2 linked regions of the Caenorhabditis elegans genome follow. The protein of the gene in region 1 purifies or fractionates together with the protein of each later gene. This does not show direct contact. Each region holds a gene or a part of one and is shown in the gene's direction. Other genes may lie near its edges.

Region 1 (5,648 bases):
AAGGTCAAACAGTTTTGACTAATTTTTTTCGGAAACAAAAAAAAACTAAACATTGGTTTACTGAAATTCGCAGAACATTTGCATAATAAATAAAAGCAATCTTCGGCAACTGCTTGTTAAACGTTGGTTGAGCATGTGCTCAGATCCTGAGTTGAACCACTTTTGTAATAACTTTTGGTAACAGTTTTTTTTCATAAAATAAATAACCACCGTAATCCTAATCCTATGTTTTTAAAAATTGTTGCAAAAGGTCAAAGAATACAAAAATCAGGTGAAGAAAAAAACGGCTTTTGAAAAGAGTGAGAGAAAATAGGCTGAAAGGTGGGAGGTGAAAAGAAAACTAGAAATGATTCAAGTGAGAAGCAAATTTGTTAAACTCTACTCATCACCTTGTCTCTCTTTCTCTCGTAATACAAGCTGTTGATAATGATAATGATGATGATGAACATATACACAAAATCGAGAAAAAAACTGTGAGAATTCATTGAGAATTGAAGAGAAGAAAAAGACAACAAGTTACACAGTTGAAAAGAAGAATAGAAACTGATAAAAGTAAATTAGAAAAAGGTTCGAGAAGATGAGGAATTGAAGGTCAAGGGCACTCCCTTTTTTTACCTTTTGAAGTTCCTTGTTCGAAAATTTGGTCATTTCATTTTATGGTTCTTTTGTGTTTTATGTTCGGTATTCCCAGCAGATGACAGTAAGCATTCAGCGAACTTTAACATATGATATGGGGTTAAATGACCTTCGTCCATTCCTCAAGCTTAATGTTTCTAAAAATACACGGAGTACTTCAAAATTGTACATAAACCACTGGAATAAAAAAAAGAGTTATATCGTTTTTTTTTCCTACAGATATGATTATTCTGATTACTCATAGAAATAATTTTAAAAAAAGTTCTTTGAAAAATTTGCTTCTGTTCCCTAAATGATTAGACAAACTTTGAAAAAAAATTGACTGTTTCCAAATATTATCATAAAAGCGTTTTATTATAAACATGTTTTCATTAGACTTGGCGTAATCTCTTGGCATTTTGAAAAAAATCAATTTTTAAATTTTCAAGGTTTAGTTGCAAAACGACAGAAATTCTGCAAAAACTTGTGTTGTGATCATAAGTACAAGTGAGTAGATGCAGTAGATACAATTCTCAAATTTCAGGCAACTTTCCGACTTTCTATAGTTGAAATTTAAAAAAAAACATGAACGATTTTATTCTCAAAGCTAAAAATTGTATAAAATTTCGTGTAATATTGGTGAAATTCTAAAACTTGTTATAATAACAAGCTGAAACATGGAACAATAACTTAAAATTCTTTCGGAATGGGAACTTCTTCTGTTCCAGAGACTTTTTTTTTGCTTTTAGAATTTTTATTGTTGTGATTCATGAAAAAACCTTGATACGTGAGGCTAAATGTTCGCGTGCTGGCAAAATTTGAATGAACAAAAATGAAGAAAAACATTTTGAAAAAGTTCATTTTAAAATTGAATTATACGTGACTTCCTGATAACCTTTCCAAAAAAGGTTAGATCTTATCTTCTGTCTATAAAAGGACTCGAAATTGTCATATTTGCTCATATTGGAACAATACTTCGATCGCCTTCGGGCCAATGAGCAGCAAAGTGACATGCAGATAGTCCAACGGGCTCATCATATTTCCGTCGTTTTGTCGCGTTTATACGATGTGCTTGAATCGATTAAAAAGATTCGAACTGAACGTTTCTTCATATTTTAACACCTTTTATATACACCAAAAGGAGGAGGTTACGTTAAAATTAATTATTTTTTATCCAAATAAACTGTACATTTTTGATGAACTCAATGAACTATCAGACGCTAAACCAACACGTAAAACACGCTTGTAATATTATTAGGGAGTGCAAGCCTAATAGGGAGCCCATACTAATATAATGAATACGGCATCAAAAATTGAAGTTACAGTGTGTCAAATTAATCAAATGGCTGACAACTTTCTAGCGCTTTTTGATAAAGACAATAAGTTCCTGGAAAAGTATATGGTAACTAGAAAACGTTTGCTCTCCAATTTAAATAAGAAGTCGATCATGTTAATGTCCAGAAATTTGCATCAAATTTCAAGAAAATAGAAAACTGTATTTATTTATACAAATAATGGAAAATTTTTATTTACATTAAAAAAGCTAAAAATATACAAATTAAAAGAGGTCTCAAAAAGCAATCGGGAAATTGTCCATTTTTATCAACATTTCCATTTAAACGAGTATAGTTTTAGATTTTTGTGATCCGAGCTTAATCAATACAAAGCAAACGAAAATAGTCAAAGAAGTACAATAAATCAATAAAAAAACTTGCAAAAATGACATATGAATTTTGATGTGAATCATTCTTTAGAATAATACAGCACTGTAACAAGCCGAAGTAAGTAAGCTCTGTAAGTGAGTTTTTAAAAAGTTATGGAATAAGGATACTGAATAACTTATTGCTTTGGACCAAAAATATATATACTTTGCTGAGAAAGTGGAGAAAAATTTGGCGGCTCCTGAGCGAAGCCGCATCCCTATCTTAATTAGCAGTTGCGTCTGTAACCCTAGATTTTTGCTTCATGAGTTAATTCTTGAAACTATTTTTTCAACTCAACAAAATGTTTTTAAACACGTGAAACCGCGCTAAATACAAAAACAGAAGAACACTTTTTTTTTTAAATTTCAGAACATCTAAAGTGCCAAAATTTTAATGTGACCCCCTGGTAACCTCTCCCTAATGAAAAAGAATCTCCCTATAAAAGGAGTCGAAATTGCCATATTTGCTCATATTGGAACAATACTTCGATCGCCTTCAATCATCGTAAACAACATCGATGGCGCCGAAGCCGAATCCGCCACCAAAAGAAGACACATGGGCTTTCCAGCCGATTGGTTCACCGTTCCCGCCGAGTCCTGTCAAATGTATGGGAGAGCAGAACATGTATGTTGCTCTCTGGTACAAACATGGTAAACCAATTCATGGACGTTCCTGGAACAACGGAGGAGTGGTTGAATGCTCATTCCCATACAAGCAGGCAGAGTTGACGACCAAGCAACAGCTCGAGGGACAAATTCAGGTGCTCCAGTATGTCGGAGATCACAACAACCAAGGTGAGCTTGATGGCTTTAGATAAGGATGTTTGGTTAACTTGACTGAACTGGTTAACCAAATTGAAAGATTGAACCAATTGGGCTAAAGAGAATAAACATTTCAGGATTCTGGTATGAATGGATCAAATACAAGGATCGTATTGAGAAGATCGACGACAAACATCAACTTGTTCGCTGTGGAGATTCGTTCCCAATCTTCTGGAAGAGAAAGGAAGGCAATCTTCTTGGATACGTTGACAATAAGACGGAGGAAGGATGGTTCTCGTTCAATGGCAAGGTGATCAAACAAGTCGGTCCACAGTTGAATGAAATGTACATCATCACTCGCAACTGCATCGGAGGACCACCACACTGCGAATGCGAGAACTGTCCTAAACCACCACCACCACCACCAATCCCACCACCGGGCCCACCACCACCACGTGTCATACACGACGAATGGATCGATATCCGAGAGGGAGATCCATGGCCTACTCGCAAGCTTGTTCAAGCTTTGGATAAGTCTTTGGATACTCTTCCAGGAGTCAGTGCCGATCAATATGTTGCCTTGTGGTACATGCAGGGTGAACCTGTTATGGGTCGTGTCTGGAATGAGGGAGGAAAGGTTTGTGGATCTTATGAATGACGGAAATTCTAATTTTGGAATATTTAGGTTGCTGCCAACTTCTCTTGGTTCAACAACGAATACTGCAAGAACGTTGGATCCATTCAATTGCTTGTTCGTCTTGGACCACACGTCGTTGGATACGAGTATGGATGGATTCCATTCCCAGAAGCTGCCAACTTTGATGCTGGAAAGATCTGGAAGCCAGTTCACGTTAACAACCACAAGGGAGACATCTCAGTTGGAGTCGTTAACCTTCCAGGCGGAAAACAGATCCTTGCCAAGGTTGATGTTCGCAACGAGTCGTACGGATATGGTTACCAAGGAAAGGAACACTCAGCTCGTGGACCAGCTTGTGCCTCCAGTGTCACAGTTCTTTGCCGCAAGGCATTGCCAGGATACACCCTCGACGGATAGAAAGAGCACTTCTCAGAGTTTGAATAAATAGTTTTGAAAGAAATTGAGTTTTGATAAAAATACATTAAAAAAATTAAACAAGAGAACGAAGTCTTACTGTGGAATTAAAAATAATCTGATGTCAAGTTACTTGAATTCCGGTTTGCCTTCAGTTTGTATTCTCTTAAAACCATTTGAAAATTGGAAAATTGGAATTTACCAAATATGGAAGAAATTGACTTAATATGATAAATTAATGAACAACGACGGGGTGCAAATTATTGGCAACAAGCAACATTATTTAGCTTTTTTGTAAAGTATTTATTTTTTTTTAAAATACGATTAGTTGATCGTGTGAGAAATGAAATTCCAATACAACACATACACATAATCATACTGAGCAATCAATCAAAAAACAGTAATAAGCAATGCATAATAATCAATTGACATGTAAAGTGTATCCTTATCACCTGAGATTAGTGAAAAGGAACGATACAAGAAAAAAGTTGCAATAGTAAACGGTAGATGAAGCTCTGCAAATTTCAGTCAATAACGATAGTCGATAATGGTAAGATAAGCATATTTCTGAAGCCAATTTAAATTAATTCCGTTAGGTTTCATTAAATTATTTATTGAGAAAATTCATTAGACGTTTTCTTCAAAATTAGCTGAAAAAATATGAGTTCCCTTGACATCAAGTTAATAAAGAAAATGTGATCTTATTTGGAGTAATTAAGTTTCTTATTTCTTGATTAATTTCAACAAACCTGCGCATCCAACAATTTTTTATGAGAATCTGCTAATTCACCGACAGCTCATTCTCATTTTGATTCCCATTCCAAATAAAATTCAAATAATTTTCCCCAACTTTTTATCTAACTTTAGCAATTTAAATACACCAATCAGAAAAGTTGCCCACAAGGTTTGACATTTTTCGCCGAGTAACTTTTAAATGTTTATCCCCAGGTTACCCAATTCCGAGACCTCTGAAAAAGTCTCTTCCAATTAAGCATATCCAAAGATTTTTATAAGTTTTTCAATTGTCAAAATTTTTATAACTCGGCGAAGATTGACGAGTGATCTAGCTTTTAGCTTGAAACAAATATGTGAACGTCCAGCACCTGACACAAGACAAAGTATTAATCCAAACAAAGATAGTAATTTTAATGGTTTTATTAACAAGTAAATAAAAGGCATTTCAGAGTATGAAGAGTTAGTTCGATAGGATTCTGTTCACTCCTTCTTCTCGTCATCCTTTTTATCCTGAAAATTTGTTGAAAATTTTAAGAAAGTCAGAATCTGTCAAACTCACATCGTCTTTCTTGTCGTCATCCTTTTTGTCATCATTTTTGTCATCATTTTTGTCGTCGTCCTTCTTATCCTCATCTTTCTTATCATCCTTCTTCTCTCTCTTAGACTTCTTGGATTTCTTGGACTTGTTGGACTTCTTCGACTTGGATTTGGCTTCCTTCTTATCATCTTTTTTCTCATCCTTCTTGTCATCCTTCTTGTCATCTTCTTTCTTGTCGTCCTTTT
Region 2 (4,605 bases), on another chromosome or scaffold:
TCATAGGCAATTTTCTAAAAGCAGAAATAAATCATCCAGAATTTCTTAATACTTATTCGTTTTTCATTTAATTCCCTTTATTATTATTCTGGTACTTCTTTATCAAAATTGTAAATTTCCAAATTTTCAGAATGTCTGCTGAACAATTTGTGGGTCGTTGGAAGCTTGTCGAATCCGAGAATTTCGAGGATTACCTGAAAGAAGTTGGGGTTGGTCTTCTTCTTCGTAAAGCCGCGTGTGCTGCAAAACCAACTTTAGAGATCAAAGTGAATGGAAACAAGTGGCATGTCAATCAACTTAGCACCTTCAAGAACACCACATTGGAGTTCACTCTGGGAGTGGTAAGTGAAATTTTGAAAAAAGGAAACGAGAATAGAACTCAACAACTATATGGCTTTTTCGTTAGTTATTTTCTTTCCCATTTAAAAACTTTCAAATGCCTTTCTCGAAACTCTAGCAAACACTGATAAGACTCAAACTAGTGGGTCAAAGTGCAGGAAGGTACACGTGGTTTTCAGTGTAAACAAAAAAATGAGAATAAAGAACAACTGAACTTTGTATCCATTTGAACACTACACACAACAAACGGGTGTTCTATTAACATAGATACACTTTGTGGCATGAAGAAATAATCTAATGTTTATGTCTTTCAGAATAGGTCTATGGAAAATTCAATTGCGAACTCTAAACGAACATTTGAAATCAAAAAAAGAATCATATTAAATCTAACAAAATATTTTTTTTTCGAATTAGTTACGATCTTTAAATGTGTCGGCTACATGAAAAACAACTCCCGGTTTTCATTCCATTAAAGTTCAGTTTTTAAATTGACTGTTATAATTTACCATTTAAAAAAATAGTGTTTTTTAGGAATTCGACGAGACAACACCAGACGGTCGTCAATTCAAGTCAACCATCACAATTGAAGATGGAAAAGTAGTTCATGTTCAAAAAAGGATTAAGGATTCAGATCATGATTCTGTAATCACTCGTTGGTTTGAAGGAGAAAAGCTCATCACAACTCTCCAATCTGGATCAGTTATCTCTCGTCGTGCCTATATTCGTGAATAGATTATTTTGAATATTGTTCTTGTTTTGTTCGGTCTTTGATGCAATAAATAGCGAAAAATAGTGTTTTTGTTTACGCAGAGTGACGTTTTAAAGGACCAGAAACCCTTTTCTTTTCTCTGTCTCTGTTAAAAAAGGCCTTGTTTATTTTCCGTAAAATTTTTCATTAGTTTCAACAATTTTTAAAGAAACACTTTTGTTTTAGATTTTTCTTTTTTTTTAAATTAATTTTATTCTTTATATTGATTAGACTTTCATGACCAAAATTTTGAGAAGAGTCTAGTGAGCTCCTTCCTACTCGCATTTGAAGAAAGTTTTATTATCAGCATTCAGGAAATATAATCTCTGAAAAAAAACATTCCAGAAGGACAAAATGACCACAAAGGAAGGATTTGATTATCGAAAGTTTCTTGTTGATCTCGCCTCCGGAGGCACTGCTGCAGCAATCTCAAAAACTGCCGTTGCTCCAATTGAACGTGTAAAGCTTCTACTTCAAGTCAGTGATGTCTCTGAAACAGTAACTGCCGATAAAAAATATAAAGGAATTATGGATGTTCTTGCTAGAGTGCCAAAAGAACAAGGATATGCAGCATTTTGGAGAGGAAACCTTGCAAATGTGCTTCGATATTTTCCAACGCAAGCGCTGAATTTTGCATTCAAAGACACTTATAAGAAGATGTTTCAAGAAGGAATTGACAAGAATAAAGAATTCTGGAAATTCTTTGCTGGAAATCTCGCTTCTGGTGGAGCAGCTGGTGCAACATCTCTATGCTTCGTGTACCCACTGGATTTTGTGCGTACTCGTCTTGGAGCCGATGTTGGAAAAGGAGTGGATAGAGAGTTTCAAGGTCTAACGGATTGTTTTGTGAAAATTGTGAAATCAGATGGACCAATTGGTCTTTATAGAGGATTTTTTGTTTCAGTACAAGGAATTATAATTTATCGTGCAGCATATTTCGGAATGTTTGATACTGCCAAAACATTGTACTCAACTGACGGGCAAAAACTCAATTTCTTTACGACATGGGCAATTGCTCAAGTTGGAACAGTTGGTTCTGGATATTTATCATATCCATGGGATACAGTACGTCGTCGAATGATGATGCAATCAGGGAGAAAGGATATTCTCTATAAAAACACTTTGGATTGTGTTAGAAAGATTGTGAAGAATGAAGGAATTACTGCATTATACAAAGGAGGTCTTTCAAATGTATTCCGAGCAACTGGAGGTGCTCTTGTGCTCACAATTTATGATGAGATTCAACATTTAATTTAATTACAGAATTAAAGTATGTATATGTTAATTTTGAAACAACATTGCCAATAAATTTTTTTGTTTAAAATGCATTTTTACTTTATTTTAAAAAAAAGAAGATTGTTTAAGTTTCACAATTTGAAAATGGGCTTCTATATATGTACAAGATACTAGTTTTTTACCTCAAAAAAAAATAAATTTAAAAAAAATTAAAACTTAGATATACTTTAATCAAAAACGATATTTTCCTCCTCAGAAATTTCAGAATTTTTTTGATAATATTTTTGTTTTTATTCGACTGAAAATTCCTCACTTTTCCTCTTTTCTATTTTTATTTTTCAAAAATGATGCAACGAATCAAAAAATGAATCATTCTTCAAAAAAAAACGAAACGAAAAATAGAGGAGACAGAAATAGAGAAAACGTTTTGAATCTCCGCCCACTCTTGCCCCCTATCATTCCATTTATCAGACCACCTAAATACGAATGATTTCCCAAGGCATTGCCATTCGTTTTCTTGTTGATTTGCAACTTTTCTTTTATTTCCATTTGCAAGTGATATGATAGTTCATCTTCTAAAATTAATTTTTAAAATAAGATTTTTTAACCATAATTTCAGACTAACGTTTTATTCAGACCTATTACATATCCGTTAATCTATTGAACTTTTTACCTGCTTTTCCAACTTCTTCTATTTACAGAACCATCACCATGTCTCAAGAATTCGTTGGACGCTGGAAGCTCATTCACTCAGAGAACTTCGAGGAGTACATGAAGGAGGTTGGAGTTGGATTGATCACTCGTAAGGCTGCTGCCAACTTGAAGCCAACTTTGGAAATCAAGGTCGAAGGAGATTTGTGGTATTCCAACCAATACTCCACATTCAAGAACACCACTCTTTCTTTCAAGTTGGGACAGGTAAGAAAGTGCAAAGTTTTTTACTTACAAAAGACAAAAATAATGTTATCAAAAAAAATGTGGGTTTTCTGATTCCAAATTTGCGACAAAAAAGTTACATAAAAATAAAGAAACGCACTACAAATTTATGAATAAAAATTGTTACTTCCATATTCACAGACAAAAAGTCTTAAAATTCCAGGTGATAACATTTCAAACCATAAATCATAAAATGATCATTGATTTCTTGTTATAAGACTTTGATAAACAATATGTATTTCCCATAGTTTTCGTGTTTTTTCATGCACGAATAATATTTTTTTAAAGCCATGAGAAACAATATCTGATTTCAAAATGCACGTTCGTTGATATCGGCAATTGTGGACAAAGTTTAGCGACTTTCTGCCCACAATTTGCTGTGAGCAAATTCCTGCCAACATTTTATCCTATCCATTTGAGCTTTTGGTTTGAGCAAGTTATCCCCAAATTCCAAGTAATTGTATCCAATAAAAATTGTTTCAACCCTGAAATTGAACTAGCATTCTTCAGACTTATATTTAATGTTTTTATCCCAGGAATTCGATGAGACCACTCCAGATGGCCGTACCGTCAAGTCAGTTGTCAACTTCGAGAACGGAAAATTCATTCACATTCAAAAGAAGATCAAGGACTCTGATAAGGAATCAATTATCACCCGTTGGCTCGAAGGAGACAAGCTTATCACTACTCTTGAATCTGGATCCGTTGTTTCTCGCCGCGAGTACGTTCGCGAATAGATTCTCAATTCCCAACATGAGCTTTGTTCTTGTCTTCCTGTGATATTTAATAGTAAATATTGAAATTTAAAGTATTACAATTATTTCTTTATGGCAATAAATGAGAAATATATTATCAGACTTCGAATCAAGACACTAAGAATGACTAATTGTGACGAGAAATTAGTTAATTTGAAAGCTGCTAAATTCTCATAAATCGACTTTCCTCTAAAACGCTGGAAGGCTATTGAAAAGGGGTGGAGGCGTGGCGCCCCCGTTACGCCTCGACAAGTTTATAAATAAATCTAGATACAATGTCTACAACACATCTGTTTCTAGATCATATTCATCGGTTTATTTTTTAAATAAGCTCTAAAAGTTTGACTATGTAATATATGAATGCGTAAGATCACAATGAAGAAGTCTTCCAAATGAACTTCCAATTAACATTTGTTCATCAGTGAATACAACTGATGAACTCGCCGAAATAGTTGCTCCATCGTTTGCATACGGTTCAGTTGTTACCCAAGAGTTGCCTTCTTCCTGAAACAAATGCGATTTTTGATTTTTTGACGCTTTTTCGCATTGATTAGTATTTGAATGAATTGATAAAAAACGTGGAAACAGAGT

What was found. Proteins that work in one complex are often made in the same cells at the same time.
Region 2: the proteins of nsph-4.2 (region 1) and lbp-6 fractionate together in Caenorhabditis elegans (co-fractionation; one large-scale study listed by BioGRID). This does not show direct contact.

What each region holds. Positions count from the first base shown.
Region 1 is NC_003282.8:5,215,997-5,221,644, forward strand, and holds nsph-4.2 (Nematode Specific Peptide family), read left to right. Parts: upstream 1-2,799; 5' UTR 2,800-2,835; coding exon 2,836-3,112; intron 3,113-3,216; coding exon 3,217-3,716; intron 3,717-3,764; coding exon 3,765-4,133; 3' UTR 4,134-4,173; downstream 4,174-5,648.
Region 2 is NC_003279.8:6,727,796-6,732,400, reverse strand, and holds lbp-6 (Fatty acid-binding protein homolog 6), read left to right. Parts: upstream 1-3,024; 5' UTR 3,025-3,034; coding exon 3,035-3,241; intron 3,242-3,795; coding exon 3,796-3,996; 3' UTR 3,997-4,105; downstream 4,106-4,605. Other genes in the region: lbp-5 (Fatty acid-binding protein homolog 5), read left to right, coding at 132-341, 871-1,071; ant-1.2 (ADP/ATP translocase), read left to right, coding at 1,442-2,344; mec-6 (Mechanosensory abnormality protein 6), read right to left, coding at 4,360-4,518.